Caenorhabditis elegans: one gene and its partner. The protein of the gene in region 1 purifies or fractionates together with the protein of each later gene. This does not show direct contact. Each region holds a gene or a part of one and is shown in the gene's direction. Other genes may lie near its edges.

The links.
Region 2: the proteins of ppk-3 (region 1) and sacm-1L fractionate together in Caenorhabditis elegans (co-fractionation; one large-scale study listed by BioGRID). This does not show direct contact.

Annotation. Positions count from the first base shown.
Region 1 is NC_003284.9:12,967,502-12,979,094, reverse strand, and holds ppk-3 (1-phosphatidylinositol-3-phosphate 5-kinase), read left to right. Parts: upstream 1-3,451; coding exon 3,452-3,530; intron 3,531-3,579; coding exon 3,580-3,705; intron 3,706-3,879; coding exon 3,880-3,993; intron 3,994-4,045; coding exon 4,046-4,381; intron 4,382-4,572; coding exon 4,573-4,841; intron 4,842-4,899; coding exon 4,900-5,493; intron 5,494-5,652; coding exon 5,653-6,147; intron 6,148-6,194; coding exon 6,195-6,286; intron 6,287-6,603; coding exon 6,604-7,239; intron 7,240-7,296; coding exon 7,297-7,507; intron 7,508-7,665; coding exon 7,666-8,400; intron 8,401-8,637; coding exon 8,638-9,038; intron 9,039-9,200; coding exon 9,201-9,453; intron 9,454-9,670; coding exon 9,671-9,832; 3' UTR 9,833-10,145; downstream 10,146-11,593. Other genes in the region: F11C1.4 (Lipid droplet-associated hydrolase), read right to left, coding at 1-203, 335-590; F11C1.9 (uncharacterized protein), read left to right, coding at 1,544-1,684, 1,732-1,851; F11C1.10 (Photosystem reaction center subunit H), read right to left, coding at 1,243-1,371, 1,863-2,003; frpr-2 (G-protein coupled receptors family 1 profile domain-containing protein), read right to left, coding at 10,364-10,592, 10,643-10,754, 11,231-11,358, 11,415-11,506, 11,554-11,593.
Region 2 is NC_003279.8:9,483,153-9,493,120, forward strand, and holds sacm-1L (Phosphatidylinositol-3-phosphatase SAC1), read left to right. Parts: upstream 1-5,335; 5' UTR 5,336-5,344; coding exon 5,345-5,501; intron 5,502-5,548; coding exon 5,549-6,083; intron 6,084-6,322; coding exon 6,323-6,993; intron 6,994-8,834; coding exon 8,835-9,158; intron 9,159-9,236; coding exon 9,237-9,346; 3' UTR 9,347-9,468; downstream 9,469-9,968. Other genes in the region: F30A10.15 (uncharacterized protein), read left to right, coding at 71-365; gly-21 (GLYcosylation related), read left to right, coding at 830-856, 920-1,039, 1,259-1,359, 1,408-1,873, 1,948-2,101, 2,538-2,683, 2,727-2,836, 3,038-3,168 and 1 more; Stomatin-like protein stl-1, read right to left, coding at 3,664-3,988, 4,070-4,377, 4,442-4,600, 4,643-4,778, 4,828-4,874; F30A10.3 (Kinase), read right to left, coding at 9,791-9,835, 9,883-9,963.

The DNA of each region.
Region 1 (11,593 bases):
GTTTGACTCGGTCATTCTCTCAATTGTAGGGAACAAGCAGACAGCTTTTCTCAAATTGAAGTCATCTTTGATATAAGGCAAAATGCTCAGCAACATGTATGCTCCATCACCATGACCAAACATGTAAACCCTGTTCCCTCTGGGAAGATATTCTTTTACGAAATCCAGCTTGTGTTGAACTTGGTCAGCAAGGCTAAATCGCTCTGAAAAGTTAAGCAGTTGAGTTTTAGTGTGGGTGTGAACTCTGCCAAATAAGTTGAGTTAGTTTTTGTGCAGCACCAAAAGCCAGCTTTTCTCTTGGGACACTTGCTTAAGAAAAAGAATGTCAACATACCGTTGACCTTGTGACTTTCTGAACATCGCAGTGATGTGGGAAGAAGAACATGATTCAGATGTGACAATGTGTAGAACACAAACTGGACGCGTCTGGTGCCAAGTCGTTCCTCGCGGGCAATCAAATTGCGGATCAAACGTCGTCCAAAGTCCGTGTAGAATCCATCATTGCCAGGATTGCCTAGAACATGTGTAAACTTGATAATGTGGAGTGGAAATAGAACCAAATATGCCAACAAAAATGGTGAAATATTCATGTTGATTGATAGGTCTAAGATATGAAAGATAGACAAGTGCAAAAACGCCAAAACAGAAAATTGTGTTCATTGAATGTGAAAGTTCAAAGAAACATTAAAGGAGGACTAACAGTTCGGACGATTTTAATTGCATAGACCCAAAATGAGAACTAATAAACAAATTTCGTAATCAAACATCTCAAAAATTGAAAAAAAAATGTTATGGCCGTTCAAAATTTCGAACAACCTATTTTAGGAACCACTAAAACACAAATATTAGTTCCAAAGTGATCTGGAAAAAATTCAAATTGTATGACGTCACACATTACAGAATAAGTTGAAAATATGTTTATTTTGGCTACTTGATAACCTGTTGATTTTTAAAGAACTTTATAGTTAAGATTGATGAATAGTTTTTTTTGGTAGTAGCCAGCTTGCTTTTTGATGAAAATAAATAACTCGGCTCGAGGAATATATGCATGTTTTTTTAAATGTAAAGCATGACTTTGTCACACAAAAGTTGTTTTCTTTCATGTTCGTCCCAAATGAACTATTTAAAATTTACAACAATTACAATGTCCTCTCACAAACGAAAAAAAGATCTAACGAACTATTAGGGAAAATGTGTTACTAAAAGCAATTTACATGTTCTAAATTTGGTTGAATCGGATTTTCAAATAATTATCTTTTTGAAAGCCCATGAAAAAACATTATCTGGAATCATAAAAATAATGATTCGTTCATCCTTCTCTCCTTGATTTTCGATCGTCAAAATGTCTGGTGTCAGAGATGTTCCCATTATCTGTAATCAATTCATGTTTACATAAAAGAATACGAAATGAGCACCCCTACGCGGCAAAGAAGTGAACAAACACATTTATCATAAAATCGATTTTCTGCCCATCTTCAGTCTATTATTCCTCATTGTTAAGAAATAATATAAATTAAACGTGCTAGCATTTGAAAGGGCCATCATGAATTCAGATAATTCAAATCGACGATCATATCTATTCTTTTTTCCGAAAGTTCGTTATCGCACCGAAATTCAGAAAACTAATCAGATTTCTATTTTTGAATATGTCAGCAGAACATTATTTGCAACGTGGTGGCAACCAGTAAGTAATTTTTTATGTTCCTTTGCAAATTTTTGAAAATCTTACAGCCAATTGCAAGTCAAGAAACTACTACAATACGAGATACAACTACTTCTACTACTGCTGAACTGGAAACTGCTCCAGAAACTGCTCTAGAAGCTGTGGACGAACCAAAATGGGACCTGTAAGTTTTTCTTACCGACATTCTACTCCACCGTCCGCTAACTTCAACCCATTCCACATTTCTCTGTATATCAATCATATTCACTGAACCGCGAACTCTTCCGGTCACACGATCAATTGGAAATGAATCTATTTCGTTTTCTTTTGAAAAGCTCATAGTGAATACTGAAATTTGCCATATGGGGAAATTGTATTTAAAAAAAAAAATATAATAGAAGCAAGAAATTGTCAACATGTTAATAAAACATAATCTGCATTTTCAGATAGTTAATAAACTTAGAAAAAAAACGGTATTCTCAAAAATTTGTACGACTCTCAGTAACTTGCTAAATAAGTAAAAAGGCAACAAGTGTGGTAAGGTCGCGAGACTAGCCGGGGGCCGATTTGAAAAATGAGTAGGAGATGGTCTCTCTAGAGGGTGTCCGGTGCCGACGAGATAAATATTGGGCGAATTCACTTGGGGGCGTCGCCGCGGCATCTTGGCGGGGCTCACAATTTTTTCGATGCTCAGAGATCAATGGTGACATGCCGTGGCCAGTGAGAAAATTTGAACGAGGAAGCATGTGAAAAGTTGGATAATATAATTGGTACTTTAATTAGCATTCCAGAATTGTAAAGCATGACATGTGAAATATTGTTCTATTATGACGACTTATACTTCGGTTAATTTCAGTATTAGCAAAAAATCTGTCAAAAACGTAGAAAAATATTTGCACATATTTTGTCGAAACAGTTACGGTAGAGAGGAAAATGTATATACATAATGTCATTTAATGCTCTTCTGGATCTCGTCTGGTCTTAAAAGCATTGTCTGTCATGTATTTTTTGTAGGTTGAAATTGAAAATTGTCTTACTAAAATTTGTTATTTATTTCATAAATAATTACTTTTAAACCTCAACTTCACTCATAAGAACAGCAATGCTTATGAGGAAGTATTCGTCATAGTTTGGTGGTACTGATTGAAGCAATACAGACATTACAGACTCATCACTGTGACCAGCTGCACATTGCGCAACACGTTTGCAGTAGTGTGGCAAAGTTGCATCTGACATGCATTCCCAGTTTTATTTGATTTTTGTTCACGCTCCTGGTGTTAATTTTATTAGTTGTGATCGCAGAGCATGAGATTCTGCTCTTTTTTTGGTTTTTGGTTTCCCATACATTATTGTCGATTTTCGAGCGGAGTTGAGAATAAAACTTAGAAAAAAATTGCACTTTTTTCAATATATATAAGAAAGATTTCGCAATCTTTTCTGAAATATCAATATGAGTTTTTTCCCGGGAAATAAACAGCGAAACATGGAACACTGCATGTACACACCTTGTTTTTTTCCGCCTATCCGTCTAATTGCGCGGGAATAACTTTTCTTTGCTGACCCAAAGAGGTCAGCAAATGCGCTCCTCTGCCAACACCCTCCTGTTTTAGCACAGTCTCTCGCTAGCAACACTGCCTCCGCAACTTGCCTGTTTTGATGGTTTGATCTTTCTTTCATTTCCCCATGCCGCTCACTTGGATCTCTTCCTTCTTTTTCTCCAATTAAATCTCTCTGCTAGTGCTTTGTTATATATTTATCCAAATACTCGGATCTATCAATTCCAGAGTAATGGGGGATGCCAGCGAGTTGCAGTTTTTTGAAAAACTCGAGCCACCACCAGAAACAGAAGAACCAACACCAGTTTCCGGTAAGTTTTTTGTGTGATTTGAATTATTTTTATTAATAAAAGTTGATAGTGTCTTCAGGTGGTTACTTTTCAAACATTATTGGGCAAATATTCCGAAGCGATGGATCGCCGCAGCCAAACGGAGTTGTGCCTCCCACAGAAGAAAGACAGAACTTGGAGAGGACGGAGTCTGGAGGTAGATTTTCATCGACTAAAAATATATAACAATTATTTTGTGCATTTTTCGGAGAAACAAATTTTGCAATTCATTTCGATTCTGATGAATTGTTTGATTTTAATAACTCTATAATATAAAAACATCGGAAATTTTCTTATTATCTGATCGACAAACAATGATCCTCTATTCCAGAATCCCGAACATCCGAAGAAAGTGGCTTTCAAAGATCTTTAACCGATAAGTTCACAGGATTACTCAAATCAAAAGTTAACCCGCAGCTCAAAGACTACAACGACAGCAATTTCAGTAAGTATTTCATATTCTATAAGCACTCTGACGTCAATTCAAATTTTTTTAGAACAATACTGGATGCCTGACTCAACGGGAAGAGAGTGTTACCAGTGCGAAGAACGGTTCACAACTTTCCGACGACGTCATCATTGTCGACTTTGCGGACAGATTTTCTGTGCAAAATGTTGTAGTAGTCACATTGACGGAGCAGCTTTGGGATACATGGGCGAGCTCAGACTTTGTGATTACTGTGCTCGAAAGGTTCAACGACTTGCCGAAGAGGGAAAGCAGACGCCGACGACGTCGACGACAAGAAGTCAGACGCCAGTGAACAGCAGAAAAATTAGCTTTGATAGGAATACTGCACACAAGAATTCGGATACTGTGAGAACAGTTTCGAATGGTGAGATTTTCCGATTCCAAGAGGGCATTAGGATTCTTAGTTTAATTTTTTATTGTCTTTTTAAAAATGTATCTACGAGGCTTGAGCTTTCAAGAACACTGGCAGTTGTTCATATTTTCACAACGACATAACTCTATTAGTTTAGCTAAACACAAACATTCTACATAGAAATTAAAGACAAATAATTTCAGGAGCTATTTGGTCACTCTGCCCCCCAGAATCGTCGATGCCTCCGGAAATTACATCCCCACCTCAACTTGGAAGCCGCCGCAACTCGTTGGCTCAAAGTAGCAATGGTCCAGGAGTTCCGACAATTCTATCAGTTGCGGATCTCTGTGCATCAAACTCGGCTATGCTCACAAACAGTCATTCCCATCCAATGATCACCGAGGAAGAGGAATCGGGACCAGACTGGTTTCGAACAATGCATCCTGGAATGGACGGTGTTATCAACAATGAAGTGAGGAAGCTTAAATATTTAATTGTGGAAATAATTTATTATTTTGTTTGACTTTCAGACTTCCGACTCAGCTGATGTTTTTGCGTATGCAAATCTCGCTGGAGCGATAACCAACGAGTTTACAGAAATGATGGATGCCAGAGCTGCGGAGCCAACCTCAGCCACTACTGATCGTAAAATCACCTTTCCGTCCCTGTCACTTGATGAATCCGTTATGAACGCAGCGAAGGAAGAACAGCGGGACAATTTGGAAGAGTTGTTCCGCCGAAATACTGAACGAATTCTAGACGAAGTGATGAAACGAGAGTACATCCGAGAAGACAAATGGAGAGATCTAATTCTGAAGAGTGTCTATGAAGTAGTGGAGAATGTAACTGTGAACGTTCCAAGTGGAGACACAATGAATATTGCTGACTACGTACACGTCAAGAAAGTTCACAAGAAAGAAGGGAAAGTTGATTCGGAAATCATTTGGGGAGTGGCTTGCAGTAGAAGTTTAGTCTACAAAAGTTTGTCAGAAGAAGATGAAAGCAGCCATACGACCGAGTCAATTATGATTGTTAGCGGTTCAATTGAATATGAAAGAGTCTCAAACAAACTTTCATCTATTGAGCCGATTATTGTGCAAGAAGAGAAATTTTTAGAGAAGCAGGTGCGTATGTTCATGGAAATAGTCATTAACTGTGTGTGTGTCAGATTTAGTTGCTAATCTAAAAGTTGACAATATGAATAAGTACCACACGTCTGAATAAATGCACTTGTATTATACAACCATTGAAATCGAAACTAAATAGAATAAACAATTTTCCAGATTGATCGAATTGCCACCAAACGTGCTTCATTGATTCTAGTGGAAGGAGGAGTCTCGCATATCGCTGCTCAACTGCTTCACAAGCGTGGAATCAAAGTAGCGGTCAATGTGAAAATGAGTATATTACAACGTATTTCAAGAGCCACTGGAGCTGATATTGTCTCAAACTCAGATTCTCAGTTGGTTGAGCAAAATTTAGGATGTTGCCCGGAATTTCAACAACGGAATATGCAACAGGAGGACGGAAGGATCAAGACTTTGATGATCTTTGCTGATTGCCAAAAGGAAACTGGATGTACAGTGCTCTTGCATGGAGATGATTTGAAAGAATTAGTGGCCGTGAAACGTGTTGTGCAGTTCCTGGTCACTATTGTCTACTCTAATTACTTGGAGCAATCCTATCTAAATGCTTTTAATACTACAATTGCGAGGAGACAATCTGATTGCGTTGTTTGTGAAAAACGCCGTGCTATCGTTTACTCGCAGGGTGAAAAGGTTGATGGTTTATCAACATCGTTTCTCATATGTTTTTGTATTTTCAGACTGAATTTGAAAAGAATCTCTATGCGACGATGCTGTCAAGCTCACCAGTGATTGAATTTGAGCCACCACTTTTGGAGACTGCAACCGGGAGGTGAGTGAAAAGAGCGCCTCATAAAAATCTGCAAACACGGTCACGTCAGAGTGCACACTGCGGGCAATTTATGAAATAATCATATTAAAGCAATTGTAAAAGTTTTGCCTAACACAACACTAAACCTAGCCTAACATAGAAGTTTTTTAAAAATATATTTCTAGCATGAATATCTAATCAGTTAAAAAGATTAGTTTACAATTCATGAAAACGACTTCTATTCATAAAAATATTTTTCAAAAACATGCATAATTTTTCAACATAGATTCAAAATTAAATTTAAAAAAACACCAGAAAAATTTATTCACAAATTTCAGGGAATGTCCGCTCATTGCCTACTTCAAGCAACCACTGTATAAACTTTTAAAGCCTGGCGATGTTGAGCTCATCAAGCAAGGATACGAAGAAGATATTGTACCTATCCCAAAGAAAGAACCACTTCTGGTAGACCGTCGACACGCTTTTGCTCAATGTAATCGTGGTGCGATCCTTGACAATGTGGCAAGATCTTTCCGCCTTTTTGGAGGAATCAATTTTCGGCGACGAACTGCTCAAATTGTGAAGCATAGAAAAATTGTGGAGACCGAGAAGCAGCCATTCCGTGCAAAGGATGTTTTAGATCCAAGAGTTCATCAGACACTTGCTGTCCTTTTTGGCTCGTTTTCTCGAAAGTCACCCAACGCTCCGTACTTTTGTGTACGTCCGTGGGTGGTAAGTATGCAGTACTACAAGGACCATGATATGACAATCGGAGAGTTTCTTGTGAAGTTCTGTTTTAATCGTAGTTATGAATGTCCGTCATCAAACTGTGAGGTACCTATGCTGGATCATTCAAGAAAGTTGGTTTATGGAAAAGTTTGCGTAGAAATTTCAACTCAAACTGTGAACGAAGCAGAAAACGCCATAGAATCAGAACAGCAGAAGAGCATCATGACATGGCGAAATTGTGGAAAGTAAGAACATTATTTTCGCTTTTATTAAACTTTTTTTTTAAATTTCGTTATTTTCAGATGCAACTGTTCATCACAAATGGTGAAATTTGACAAAGCAATCTGGCATCTGTCGTTTGCAAAATTCTTAGAGTACATTGGAAATTCGTGCTTCACCACCGACACAATCTACCCAATAACTAATCAGAATCAATGCTCGCATTGCTTTTTCCATGAAAAGTTGTACTTTTTTGCAATGGATAATTTGGTGACAACATTCAAAGTAATAGCGGTAAGTTTTGTTCAACAAAAATTGAAGAAACAGAAACATACTAAAAATACAAAGTATTTAATTTTTAAATAGTTTTAATGTTTGAGAAGCGATTTTTTATTTTAATATAAGCATACTTTATAAAACTTTATAAAATCAGCAAAGCCTTATATTTTCAGATACGCCCCTACAGTGTTGTCTTCTCGCCCATCATTTGCAGCGTCAAGGTTTTGAAAGTGAGCAGAAAAGAGCTCTCGGACGATGTCAGCAGGATAGCCACTCTTGCGCTGACTGCTTGTGAGGACACCAACAAACAGCTGGCAGAACTTGATGAGGAAGTTCAGATCACTCCGATAGTTGTCAAACTGGCTGGTGCAATCCGGAACACAATGGCATTGGCAAGCGAGAGCAGGATGTTTGCTAAAAACATTCTCTCTGGTGATGAGGATCTTATCCGGTCAAATGATCGGTTGTACAGAGAAGTAACTGGCACATTTATGAAAGTGAGAGAAGTAACATACAATCTGATTGCTCTTTGGAATGAGAATTGTGCAGCAATTAAGTATCCCAAGAGAACTCCAGAAGATATTCAAGAGATTGCCACACTTCAAAAACTGGAAAATCCGTTTCCCTCTCATCTTCACCTTGCCATCAAGCTACAACCCAGACTTGGAGTAGTGGTACGAGATATTCAAGACACTCGAGGAAACTTCAAGCCAGATATTGGGAGTATCATTGCATACGCATTGTCTGCAGTTGACTACAATAAGATCCCTGAGGCAGCTGACACTGTTTCAATGGACTCGGCTAGCTCTTCTCTGAAATTTTCACAGATGGATGATGGGGAAAACCTCGCTTCTAGTCAACACTTGGAGGTGGAATTTGAGGATGAATCTGCGTCATACTATGTGAAAGTAAGTCTGCTATATATTATGAGAAAATTCCCTTGTAATCTCACCCTCAATTTTTTTTGTTTTTGTATATTGGAGCCTTTATTTTCAGATGCCTCATTAAAAAGTGCAACATTTTCAATTGGTCTAGGGCACATATAGAATATTAAATAAAGTTGTTATTACGTCTAGACGCTGAAAATAGATGTAATGTAAAAAAATGGGCCTTAAAATGTGACAAAATTATATCAATTTTTTCAGATGCTGTACGCCGAGAAATTCCGAAAACTTCGTGAACTTCTCATTGCAGAAGGAGAAGAGACTTTTATCCGTTCCCTCTCCAACAGCACTTTCTGGACACCACAAGGTGGAAAATCCGGCTCATTTTTCTACCGCACTCAAGATGATCGATTTGTGGTGAAGCAAATGTCACGGTTTGAGATTCAGTCATTTGTAAAGTTTGCCCCCAACTATTTTGATTATCTGACAACGTCGGCGACCGAAAGCAAATTGACGACCCTGTGCAAAGTATATGGAGTGTTTAGAATAGGATACAAGAGCAAGACGACTACATTGAAAGTTGACATTCTTGTAATGGAGTACCTGTTTTACAATCACAATGTTAGCCAAGTCTGGGACCTGAAGGGCTCTCTTCGGAATAGGTGGGTTATAGGTATATACTGATAATAATAGTACAAATAACCAAATTTTCCCGGTTGTTGTATTTAGATAATTTCTGACGTACTTTGCTTTTAAGTGTATTATGACTAATTGATCATACATTTTTTCTTTGTGTTTTTAAAGATCATATGACGTTTTTTTAGACTCGCATCGACTGGAAAAAGCGCCAACGAGATGGTTCTTTTGGACGAAAACTTTGTGAAAGACCTCTGGAATCAGCAGCTCTATGTGCTGCCGCACTCAAAAGCGGCCATGAATCAAGCGATCAGCAATGACAGCCACTTCCTGAGCTCTCAATACATCATGGACTACTCGCTTCTGGTTGGTGTCGACGATGACAACGGAGAATTGATTCTGGGCATTGTTGACTACATGAGAACGTATACGTTGGATAAGGTCAGTGTTTGAACGTTTAACTTTGCGATAAACTCTGATTGATTTCTGGAATGAACATGACTTTTTGATGAGAAGTTTATATTGACGTAGAGCTAGGTAGAAAATTGACAAAAAGATAGAATAGATATCGACTTATTTTCTACCGTTTAAGTCTGAAAATAAAATCAATCCTTTAAATTTCCCATACAGTCACTTATTTTGAATAAACAATTTTCAGAAACTCGAATCATGGGTGAAAATCGTTGCCATTCCCGGAGCACACTTGCCAACAATTCTGAGTCCGGAAATGTATTGTGCCAGATTCTCGGAAGCCATCGACTCGTACTTTCCGGTTGTACCTGATCAGTGGACTGGACTCGGATCAATTAGGTCTTATTAATGTATAATACCCGGTTTTCTTGTGTAAAAACCTGTTTTTTTAGATTAATTATTTTTCTAATTTTTATGTTCAATTATTTATGTATGATGGCTATCACTTTCTCAGCTTTTTGCCCGGCAGCCTCTCCCCGTCTACCAATTCACTTGTTGTGATTCTCAACAACCGGGTTGAATTTTATTGTGTACAGTTTGTGTTTATTCCCGTGGCAGCCTTATTAGTTTGAAATCATTGATGCTTTGATACTGGTCTAACTTAATTTCTGTGATTCACTTCTTTCTCGTATTCATATTTGTTGAATGAAATTATTTTATTATCGAGATTTAAATGTTTCACTTCAAAATAGAAATAGAAAATGAATACACAAATGATAACCCAACAAAGCAATTGACACGTGATTTTGGTGAAGATCATAATATATGTTTGAACAATTTCAGAGATTCATAGAATCTCTAGAAACCGTATGAAAAGTTTCAGAAAAGCTAATTACATGGCGATGAATACCGGTAAAAACTGTTTGTAATTGAAGAATACTCATATGCTACTCGCAACCGGATTCCTATTGAAAAGTCGTATTCTATGATCATGAAGCAAGGGTAATCTCGTCGATTTTGGCCTCCACAATTGCCGAATCCGCTGATAAAATGACGAGCGAAACTCTTCCGACGACCCCATGTATACAAAAAAGTTGGCCGTCGCATTGATAACCACCAAAAAATTTCCAATGTCAATGAGCACTGCTTCTGTTTCAAATGCCATATTACTGAAAGAAGAAAAGAAGATTATACGGATTATATGATGAATACCGCTTACAACTTGAGCATTTCAAAAACATTGACTAGAAGTGATGTCAAATTGCAACAGAGAAATAGGAGAACCACTAGAAGAAGTACAACCGGATTATTGCCCCCGTCATCTTCGCATTCTGAAAAAAAGAAAATAGTAATCATTTTTAGGCAGAGATTTTCGCAAGAAAAATAGTTTCTAGAATAGAATTCACTTTGAGTTTTTCCAAAAATAATTTAACTGGAGGCTGAAACACATGCAAAACAATTTGAAGAACACCTTTTGGTTGGGTTTTCTCATTTCAAAAAACAGACCAAAAGCAGAACAACTCTGTGGCCTAACATCATTATTTCCAAGCCAGACATATTTATCAACGTGGTCCCCTATTCTTTTTCGTTAAAAAAACAACACAATTTCACATTTAAGACAGCTTGAGATGATTATAAAAACACTCAGATGAGGCGCAAACACAATCTATGAAAATGTATAATTCAGTTATAAATGGGAGACACAACGTCTCAGCGGCATAAAGAACTAGATAAACTTGCATCGGATTACCAATTCTATTTTCAGAATTGTAGGAAAAAATAAACGGTTATTTTCCTTATTTCTCACCTTCTTTCTCTGCCTTGTCCATGTGCATTGTTTCGTTTTTCCGACGAAGCATTACAATGATCGAAACAGTTAAAAACGTGAGAAGTACAAATGGGAGAAATGCCATTGAAAGTGCATAAAGATATCCTCTGAACAAGTTTTTTACATTGAATAGAAGTTTGAAATACCAGTCCAAGTTACTTACTTATACACAATGACATATGTTTCACTGACCCTCATTTCAGTAGGGCATAACTCAAAAAGTGTGTAATTGTCCGGGTGAAGACATTCAATAGCCTGCAACAAAATGGATTCTGATTCTATTCGAATTTCAATTGTTGTACCTGCAAATCTCCAAATTGAACAATATTATAGCCGGCCACC
Region 2 (9,968 bases), on another chromosome or scaffold:
AAAGTAATAAAGTTCATCAAGTTTCTTCACATTGTCTGAGAACTTAAAATTGTTTTTTTTTAATTTTCAGGAGCAATCCTATCACAATCAATGGGACAATTCAATATCTGAAAATCAATTTCATTGAATTTTCCATTCAGTTATCTACGTGGTCTTCAAATGTGCAATTGAATAATTGGAGAGATTTTATGAATTTGAAGTATGTGAAACCCAGGGATAATTCAACTGACGAATCGAAGACCAAGATGACAATTTCACCAGTTAATTCTCCAAAAAAGAAGCCAATGTATTCAATGCTGCACTCATTACAGGAGAACCTCTTGATTAATAGAACTTTCCAAAATTATAACTTAAGTTATAATTGAATTATAATTTTAAAAATTGTCAAGATTTAATATTGTAAGTATTTATTTGTGTACAATAAATGTTTGGAATATTTTTATTATTTTAAGACATACGTCCTCTAAAAGTAGACATCTCACCCTTCTACCACCGATATATTCCCGGTGGCCCTTCTTCAAGAGCCCTTCACGCGCCTTAGAATTTTTTAAAGTTTTTCCGAGGCTTTTTCTGCTGAGCAGCAGGTATCAGTGTCCCGCCCGTGAAGAGAACTGGATGTAGTAATAAATAATAAATAAATATGAGTATAGGCTACACATGTACTTGATGTACAGCAGCGTATCCTCAAAAGTCAAAGCTTTTTATACATTTATTGTGTGAAGCTTTTTATGAAAAAAAAATACAATTGCAAAACGCAAGCATTCAGAACTGAACTGAGGACACTTTCAAATTTTAATAGTTAGTTTTATTTGAATTTCAATGCAAAAGAATGGTTCATTATACTAGGCTTAGTGATGTAGGTTTTAAAATTTTTTGAGCGATCAAGCTTTTCGCATGTTGAAAATGCATTTCTTTCCAGAATACGGACGAATCTCTGAAGAAGTTTCAGGAGCCAAAATGGTCAATTCGAATATTTATTTTTATAGCTCTTTTAATTTCTTTTTCAATTTTACTAACAGTTTCCTACAAATCAATGATGGTAAGTAAAATAAATAAATAAAACTTGGAAAAATCAGAACTTTTCGATATTTTCCAAAATAAACTTCACTAAAACGTAGGCTGAAAATCAGAAAAAATATCTGAAAAATAATAAAAAATTTTGAAATTAAAGTTCTTGTGTCCACCAATTAGCAATGTTAGCCACGCCCCGCGAACCACTGATTGACCGATTTCTTTCTCATAATTTCATAAATTTCAGATTCCGAACAAATTTATCGTGAGATTATCTGGAAAAGAGCGCGCTCCTCTGAAGCATATAACAAGAAGCATCACGAAATTCGCAGATTATTATTTTACAGAGTATGCAAAACCTACTTATGTTTTGAAATTAAAAAAAAAACTATTCAGATCTGAAAGTCGATATTTAAATTGTGCTAGACTAATCGACGGAGATGTGGAGTCCATTGACACATATGTTAATAATGGAAGAATGAAGTTAGATGAAGAGAAATTATTTCAACTTTCAATGGATTGTGATTCAATTCAAAATCGTATTTTTCGAGATATGCCTCCATTTGAAAAATTGAAAAGACCTATTGCATTTGTTCGAAATATCTATGGAATATATGAATTACAAGAGGTTTTTCTATCCATTTCATATCACCCGGATAACTATTTCTGTTATGCAATGGATTCAAAAAGTAGTGAAAAATTGAAGAAATCTATGAGAATAATGGCTGATTGCTTTGAAAATGTGATTGTGTTGGATAAAGAATATGATATGGATAGAGCTGGTCATAAACAAGATGCTGCACATTTTGATTGTTTAAAACAAATTCTTGATGAACATTGGAGTCATGCCATTACATTACAGGTAAAAAAATATTTTCTTGAAATTCTGAATTGTTCTTCTTTTCAGTTTTCTTTCTTTAAAAATATTATTTTCAGAACTTCGACTTGATAATCAAATCTCCTAAACAACTATCTGATCTCAGTGAAATTCTAAATTACACCAGTATCATGGGTTTTGACTATGGATTTACAAGTAGATATCGAACATTTGAAGATTGGACTCCAGCTGGAATGAAACTTTTCAAAAATGGTTTTCCTTTTTTCATGTGGGCTTATAATTTTGATAGACTACATTTATTCATATAGAGAATAGTACAAAATAGAGATGAGAAAACATTTCCTAAAAGTACCAAAACTTCTTTGAGCCGACTGAATTATTTCTTAAAAATAAAAAAATAAATTTTAAAAAACCATTCCAAAGGCTGATGCCGCCTAGACTTTTATGCTTTTTTTCTTTTTGCACATTACTTAAATTTTAGGATTTATAGTGCAAAACGTCTTTAATTAAACCAGTCTCACAAAAAGTACAAAATATTTTCTAATCGAACAGCACGAACAGGTTTGCGTCTTTAAGGTCCTGTAGACTTGAGATGCTACAGTACTCCTTGCTTGGAGGCCTTTGAGACGAGGTGCCGCATTCTTATATCGAAAAATTACATGACAGAGTAACATAATTTTATTTTCAGAACAAAGTGTACCTCTGGAAATACTCCACAAAAAACTAAAAATTCGAAAAAGTTTAAACGAAGTAATCCTTTCGAAGGTATTTGTCAAGTCTTTATTTGATAAAGTGAATCTGCAAAATGTAATCAAAAGATTTGATGATAGAACGGTAATGTTCTACTCTTGAAAACGAGAATAATATTCAATTTCAGCTTTTTGGGGTTGACGAAATGATGGTTATGACACTTTTTGAAAACTATTTGGGATTAGATGGGCAAATGGAATCTAATTGTACCGTGGCAAAGGAAGATATATTAACACGGTTTGTATAGGATAGGCATGCCTTCATTTGTTTGTGCCTGCCTACCTCATGTCTGCATGTCACCTATTTTTTTGCTCTTTATTTGACTCTCTTGAAAATTCTAATGATAATAATTTCCAAGTGTACCAAGTGCAGAATCAGGCTCGTGTAGGTCACCTTGAAGGCAGGCTTACATTGCAAATAGAAAACTGAAAATTACAGTCAAACTCATTGGCATCTTGAACAATCCGACGGACTATATCAAGATTGTAAATCCAAGTGGTTAAGGCATTCAATATGTGTAATTGGAGTCGAATTTCTACAAGAACTTTCAAAAAGTCCGATGGTTATTGGTGATTTTTGAACATTCATGTTTATAAATAAATTGATTTTTCAGCAAACAAAGTGACCGCCAACTTCGATTTTGGAACGATAATTTGCGTTCGTGAAATGATAAAAACCAATAAAACAGGAAATAATCCAGATTCTCAATGGCTTTCCTACTTTCCACAGTTTCGTGAGATGTTGTTGAAAGCTAATGGAACTTATTACAAGAATAGTTTTCAATGTTGATCAAGTTTTTTAAAGAAAATTTTGTTTATTATTTTCAAATTTTTCACTAAACAGTTTTCCTCTGAAAATCATGTTATCTGCATTTTAAATTGAATTCAAATGAAAATTCAACTAATTCATCTGCTGAAAATTTAGAATAACGAACAATCAAGAGATTTTTGAAAAGATGATGTAAAATTACATTCAAATACCAGTAAACCAAAATTTAGAAACAGGGAAATATGAAAATGGAGAAACGGAAACTACGCTTGCACATAAACTCAAACAAAACATTTTCACTTTTTCTTATTGCTCAATGAGTCGTAAACAGCAAGTGCTTGAGAAACCATACTTCCTGGATCACTGAGATTTGCCGGAAGAACAACAGTATTTGATTCCTTGGCAAGATTTCCAAAAGCTCCAACATATTGCTCTGCAACGGTCAATCCAGCAGCATTTGCACCTCCATCTTTCTCAAGAGCCAATGCAATACGTTCAATAGCTTTGGCACGAGATTCGGCTTTAAGGATTACTGCTTCTGCTTCTCCCTTTGCTACATTGATACGTTCGGCTTGAACAGCCTCAGACGCCAAAATAGCTGATTTCTTGTCTCCTTCGGCCCTGGAAATGTTTAAATTTAGAATATTTTTACAACTCTCACGATGTTACTGAATGAAATGTGTAATTGGAAAAATATTATACCTATTAATGGCAGCTTCTCTGATTCCTTCTGATTCCAAAATCGCGGCTCTTTTCTTTCTCTCAGCTTCAACTTGCATTTGCATAGCTTCTTGAATTTTTGATGGCATCTGCATATCTCTGATTTCGTATCGCATACATTGAATTCCCCAAGGTGCTGATGCTTTGTTGATTGCAAATACAATATTTTCATTGAGCAATTCCCTCTCCTTGAATACTGTATCCAAATTGATTTTTCCAACTTCACTTCTCATCGTTGTCTGCGCTAATTGAGTTACTGCGAATTCTGGGTCATCGACTCCGTACGATGCCTGCAATTTACAAAGAAGTGTTATTTTTCAATTACAGGCGAATCAAAAAACAGGCGTCACATGCCTTGTAGGGATCGAAAACACGCAAATAAAGAACTCCGTCGAGCCTGAGTTGTACATTGTCAATTGTAATGGCTCCTTGCTCAGGAATCTCAATTGCAATTTCACGAAGATTTTGAACGAATTTGATTTTATCAATGATAGGCAATAAGAAGTTGAGTCCCTGAAAAAGTTGGTTTATTAATTACCTTTTAGGAAATGTTACCGGTTCAAGAATCTTGTAGAACTTTCCCATTCTTTCTACAACCCACGCTTCTTGCTGTGGAACAAAATTGATGACAGTATTATGTGCAGCATGGGCCTGTCGTGATGATGTCACAGCTAATGGGAGCGTTGAACTTCTAAATAATATAATTGCCCCCCTCACAATAATTTAATTTATCGGCCTACCTTAGAAGAGCTGACGAATTCATTAAAAGTCGATTAGTTAGCGCCATTTTCTGTAAAATCATTTTTAATGATGCAATGCAATTTCGAAAGATTCAGCAGTTTAAATAATGTATTAGTGGGAGGAGGATGGCAGAAAAGTATTTCGTCATGGTGGTGGCCGAGTGGGAGAGATAGATTAAAAATATGCACATTTACATCAGGACTGAGAGATTTTAATATAAACACCACTATTCTTCAATTTTTAAGAAACGAAACGTTCACAAAGTATAAAAATATAAAGAATAAAAATACAATTAATTTAAAATAATGTCTGTGTAGATTTACGGTAAACAACGCTCCCATATGAAAGACGGAGTGTCGTCACCCGTTTCCACGTTTTCGCATTCAAAGAAAACATGTTTCATGTATTCTATCACTATTGTTGTATCTCTTATTGATTTTTTTGTTTTCATGCGTCGTTCTTCTTTTTCATATTTTTTTTCCACAACAAACTTCATTCCCTTTTCAGCTCTCCAAAATGGTGGATAGTCTATTGAGTATGGACATCTACGAGAGTTTCAACTTGTACTCACACCCAGAAAAATTCTTCTTAGAACCAACCGATCTCGGCGGTGGTGCTGCGTCGAAACATTATCTCGAAATCGATAGACACACAAATGTGATGAAAATTATTGGTAAGTCTGACTTTTGGTCTGATCTAAATATAAATTTATAATTACAGATTCACGCAAGCAGCGAGTTCCAATTGCTGATACGGACATCAAGTTTATTTATGGGATTTTGGGAACAATTAAACTAGTCTCAGGATATGCTTTGATCGTAATAACAAAGGCTTCTTTGATCGGACAAGTTAATAATCACAACATCTGGACTATTCAAGATGCCGAGATTATTCCTTACAAGAAAACAACACTTCACTTGACTGAGAAACAAATTAGATATAATAGATTATTCACTGATATGCTCACTCATGTGCTGTCTATTGGCGGATTCTACTACTCGACGACTCTTGACATCTCACGCACATTTCAATGGCTTCAGGAGAACGCTGTTCCTTTGTTCAAAACAAGAAGTATGTTGGACAGAGCCAGCGAACGTTTCATATGGAATGGACATCTACTGTCACAGATCCGGCAGGTCCCTGGTGCAGAAAGATACACATTGCCCGTTATTCATGGTTTTATTGGCCAGAATCGTGTGAATGTGAATGGAAAAGAGATTAAATTGACTATCATATCCAGAAGAAGCATTTATCGGTAATTTTTTTTACTTAAAAATGTTTTAAATAAATTTGTAATAATTAAAAAAACGTTTATTTCGATTTTCTGGACAAAAAATTAATACTTCTAACAACGAGCTCGCTTTTCACAAAAATGTTTTGTCTGAATCCAAGATATATTAGTTTTAAATAATTATTAACCTTTTTAGTACGAATTTCATGTTTTTTCATAGTTTTCTCTGAAAAAAAAACTATTAGTATAATTCAATTTTTCAGTGCTGGCGTCCGTTTCTATAAACGTGGAGTCGACGTAGATGGTCATGCAGCAAACTTTGTTGAAACAGAACAAATCGTTGAATACACGAATCCTGACAAGCACCTGACTTCGTTTGTGCAATTGAGAGGTTCTATTCCTCTTCTCTGGACTCAAAAACCAAATCTACGTTGGCAACCGATGCCTACACTGAAACCAACAGATGACCAGCTTGCTGCTTTCAATCGAGCTTTTTCGTGGCACAAGCAACACTATGGTGGTAAACATGTGATTGTAAATCTTGTAAATCAAAAAGGAAGAGAGAAAAAAGTTGGAGGAGAACTGGAGAGAATATCACGACAAGCAAATATCGAATTTGTTCGTTACCATCAATTTGATTTTCACAAAGAATGTCATTCTATGCAATGGCACCGAATTGATTTGTTGCGGGAGCAGTTAAGCCAAGAAATTTCGAGTTTTGGATATTTTTACTTGTCCCCGAATAGTATGGAAACAAGTCGATTCCAACGTGGATTTTTCCGTACGAATTGCATGGATTGTCTAGATCGTACCAATGTGGTTCAGTCGATGTTGGCACGTGAATCACTCACCGAACAACTTCGAATGCTTGGAATTTTATATTCAGAGCAGAAAGTTCAAGATATTCCACTTCTTGAAGATGCATTCAAACAAAGTGAGTTTAATCAAAGTTATTTTTTTGAAAAACGAAAATCGTTTGAAATCGAAGGTTGATTTTTTAGAAGATCAATAACTGACAATGAAAAAAATATGTAAAGTTTACAACTTTATTCCAAAAAAACTCAATATTTTGATCTGAATTCGCAGATTCATGAGTGTGTCAGTATATCAATCATTTTCGCTCACTTATTTTTCAAAAAAAAATGGGCAAATACTGTTTTACTACTTGATTTTTTACTACGTATCTCTTTTACTACAAGATCTCTTTTACTACGGAATCTCTTTTACTACGAATTCCGCATTTAGATCTTTCACTACAATTGGCTCTTTCACTACGTGTTCTCTTTTACTACGATTTGATCACATAGATCTTTTACTACGGAAAACACTTTTTTACTACCTTATCTTTTACTACGTGGATGTTTTACTACGTTTTACTCTTTTGCTACGGACATATTTTTACTACGTGGAGGGGTACTGTTAGGTTACTGTAGTGGTATTGTGTAAATAACAGTTTTCAGATTATATACTATAGTTTTTTTTAATTGCTAGAAATATATTCACTAGGAAAAATTTTTTACTAAATACAATGGCAGGGATTATATTTTTAACTATGTTGCGTAATTTTTACTACGAATTAATAATCAATATTTATAGTATAAGCTAGATATAAACAAATGCATGAATATTTTCTAAAAATATATAGGTCACAATTGAAGTTTGTGCTCAAGTAGTTCTAGTAAATTTCAGTTTTTTTGGATACTGAGATTGAGTTAGTGGAGGGATCCTGTTGAGTTACTGTAGTGATACTGTTGTTGGAGTACTTAACTTTTTTCGCGTAACCAAAAAATTAGTTCCATACCGGTTGATGTATAAGTTTTAAAAATGTAATAAACAACTTGCGGTTCGGTCAGTTATCTGTCAGATGTTTGAAATTTTGACTTCAACTGAAATTTTGGAACTTTTGATCAAAAATTTGTTTTTTTCTGGATTTATCAAATCTTGTATAAAATAAGCAGTTTATTGTTTTCTATCATCTTGAATGTTCATATCACGATTTTAGATTAAAACAACAGAGATAAGTTACCGAAAGTGTGTTCACAAAACTTATTGACTCCGAGTACCGATAACTCCGCGAAAAGAATTTGGTAAAAAATGTTCAACTGACAAATTGTAGACCATGCTATATTCAACAACTTTGTAGTTGAAATCTTTTTGACACGACCGAGATAAGAGTGTTTAGCGAGACTGCATTCTCAAACGTATCGGACCTACATTTTTCTTTTTCAGAAAATCTTTTGAGAAACATTTATAGAGGATTTTGCAAATGTCATGAATGTTTCTGGAATTTTTACAAGTTTTACAAGAGAGCAAGCTCATTTCATAGTGAATAAATTTCTACAGTAACCTAACAGTATCCCTCCACGTAGTAAAAATATGTCCGTAGCAAAAGAGTAAAACGTAGTAAAACATCCACGTAGTAAAAGATAAGGTAGTAAAAAAGTGTTTTCCGTAGTAAAAGATCTATGTGATCAAATCGTAGTAAAAGAGAACACGTAGTAAAAGAGCCAATTGTAGTAAAAGATCTAAATGCGGAATTCGTAGTAAAAGAGATTCCGTAGTAAAAGAGATCTTGTAGTAAAAGAGATACGTAGTAAAAAATCAAGTAGTAAAACAGTATTTGCCAAAAAAAAATGCAAAAAATAACATTATTGCCACAAACACGAAAAAAAACCAAAAAATGGAAAATCTACACCCCTGGTCATCTTGTCAGAGCATAGATTATTTTAAAGTATAGTTTCAAATACCAATTACTTCTATTGAAATATGTTTCAGTGTGGGCAGATAATGGTGATGAATGTAGTCGTCAATATGCTGGAACAGGCGCATTGAAAGCAGATTTCACTCGTCACGGAAGACGGACATATGTTGGAGCAATGAAAGACGGTGTCAATGCAGTGTCCCGTTACGTACGAAATAATTTTGGAGATGGATACCGTCAAGATTCAATTGATCTCTTCCTTGGTAACTTCCTAGTCGATTCGTCAGATCTTCCTGTTTCGCTGGAATCTTCGATTCTATCAACGGATCAGAATGGTCTTGCCCTTATTGCCGCGTTGTTTGCCATGTCAATGACAATTCTTTGTCTTTTGGTTGCAGGTACTATATTAATCACTTACTATTGCACACGATACTCGATAATATTCCGAATCCTTCAAAAAAAAAACATTTTTTCAGACAACTTCACCGCAACAATCTTCTGGATGGTCATTTTCTTTGTCTGTATGATGTTCATATTTTTGAACGGCGAAGAATTTGTAAATGCTCCGAAGCTCAAACTGGACTAATGCCATATCTGTCCGAAAACCGTTCATTCCTACAATCAAAGTTGCACCCCTTTTTTGTGTATTTATTTTTTCGCGTTGTAGAAAGAGAGAGTTTATTTATTGTAGATGAAGTTTGTACTAACAAGTTTATTATGCAGAGAGAACAACTATTTTCAGTAATACATTTTTGGCACTGTAACACAGTCAAATTTCTTTGGTTTTGTTCTTCAACACACATTATGAAGTGTGAAGAAAAAACAAAAATAAAAATTGAATGAGACCCATTTGGTAGGGGGGAGAGAACGAAACGACGCAGAGAAGAAAGATGGGTAAGATGCAGAGGAAATGAATTGACTGGGATCAGATGGGAATGATACAAACGGGAGGAGTTTTACATCGGGAGGATGTCATTAAAAGTTGACGGAAAAAAGTGATAAAATATACTTTAAATATTCAGGAACATTTCTACTTTTTCTTCTCGAATGATGAAGATGGTGTCACGGGATCTTTCTGAATAATACAAATAGATTTAGTTGATACTAAAATTGAATTCTCACCGAAACAATAGGTTCCATAGCTTCAACAATACTATCAAGACCAAGAAGGCATCCTTCGTCGGCACCAGAATATGCAAGATCCTAAA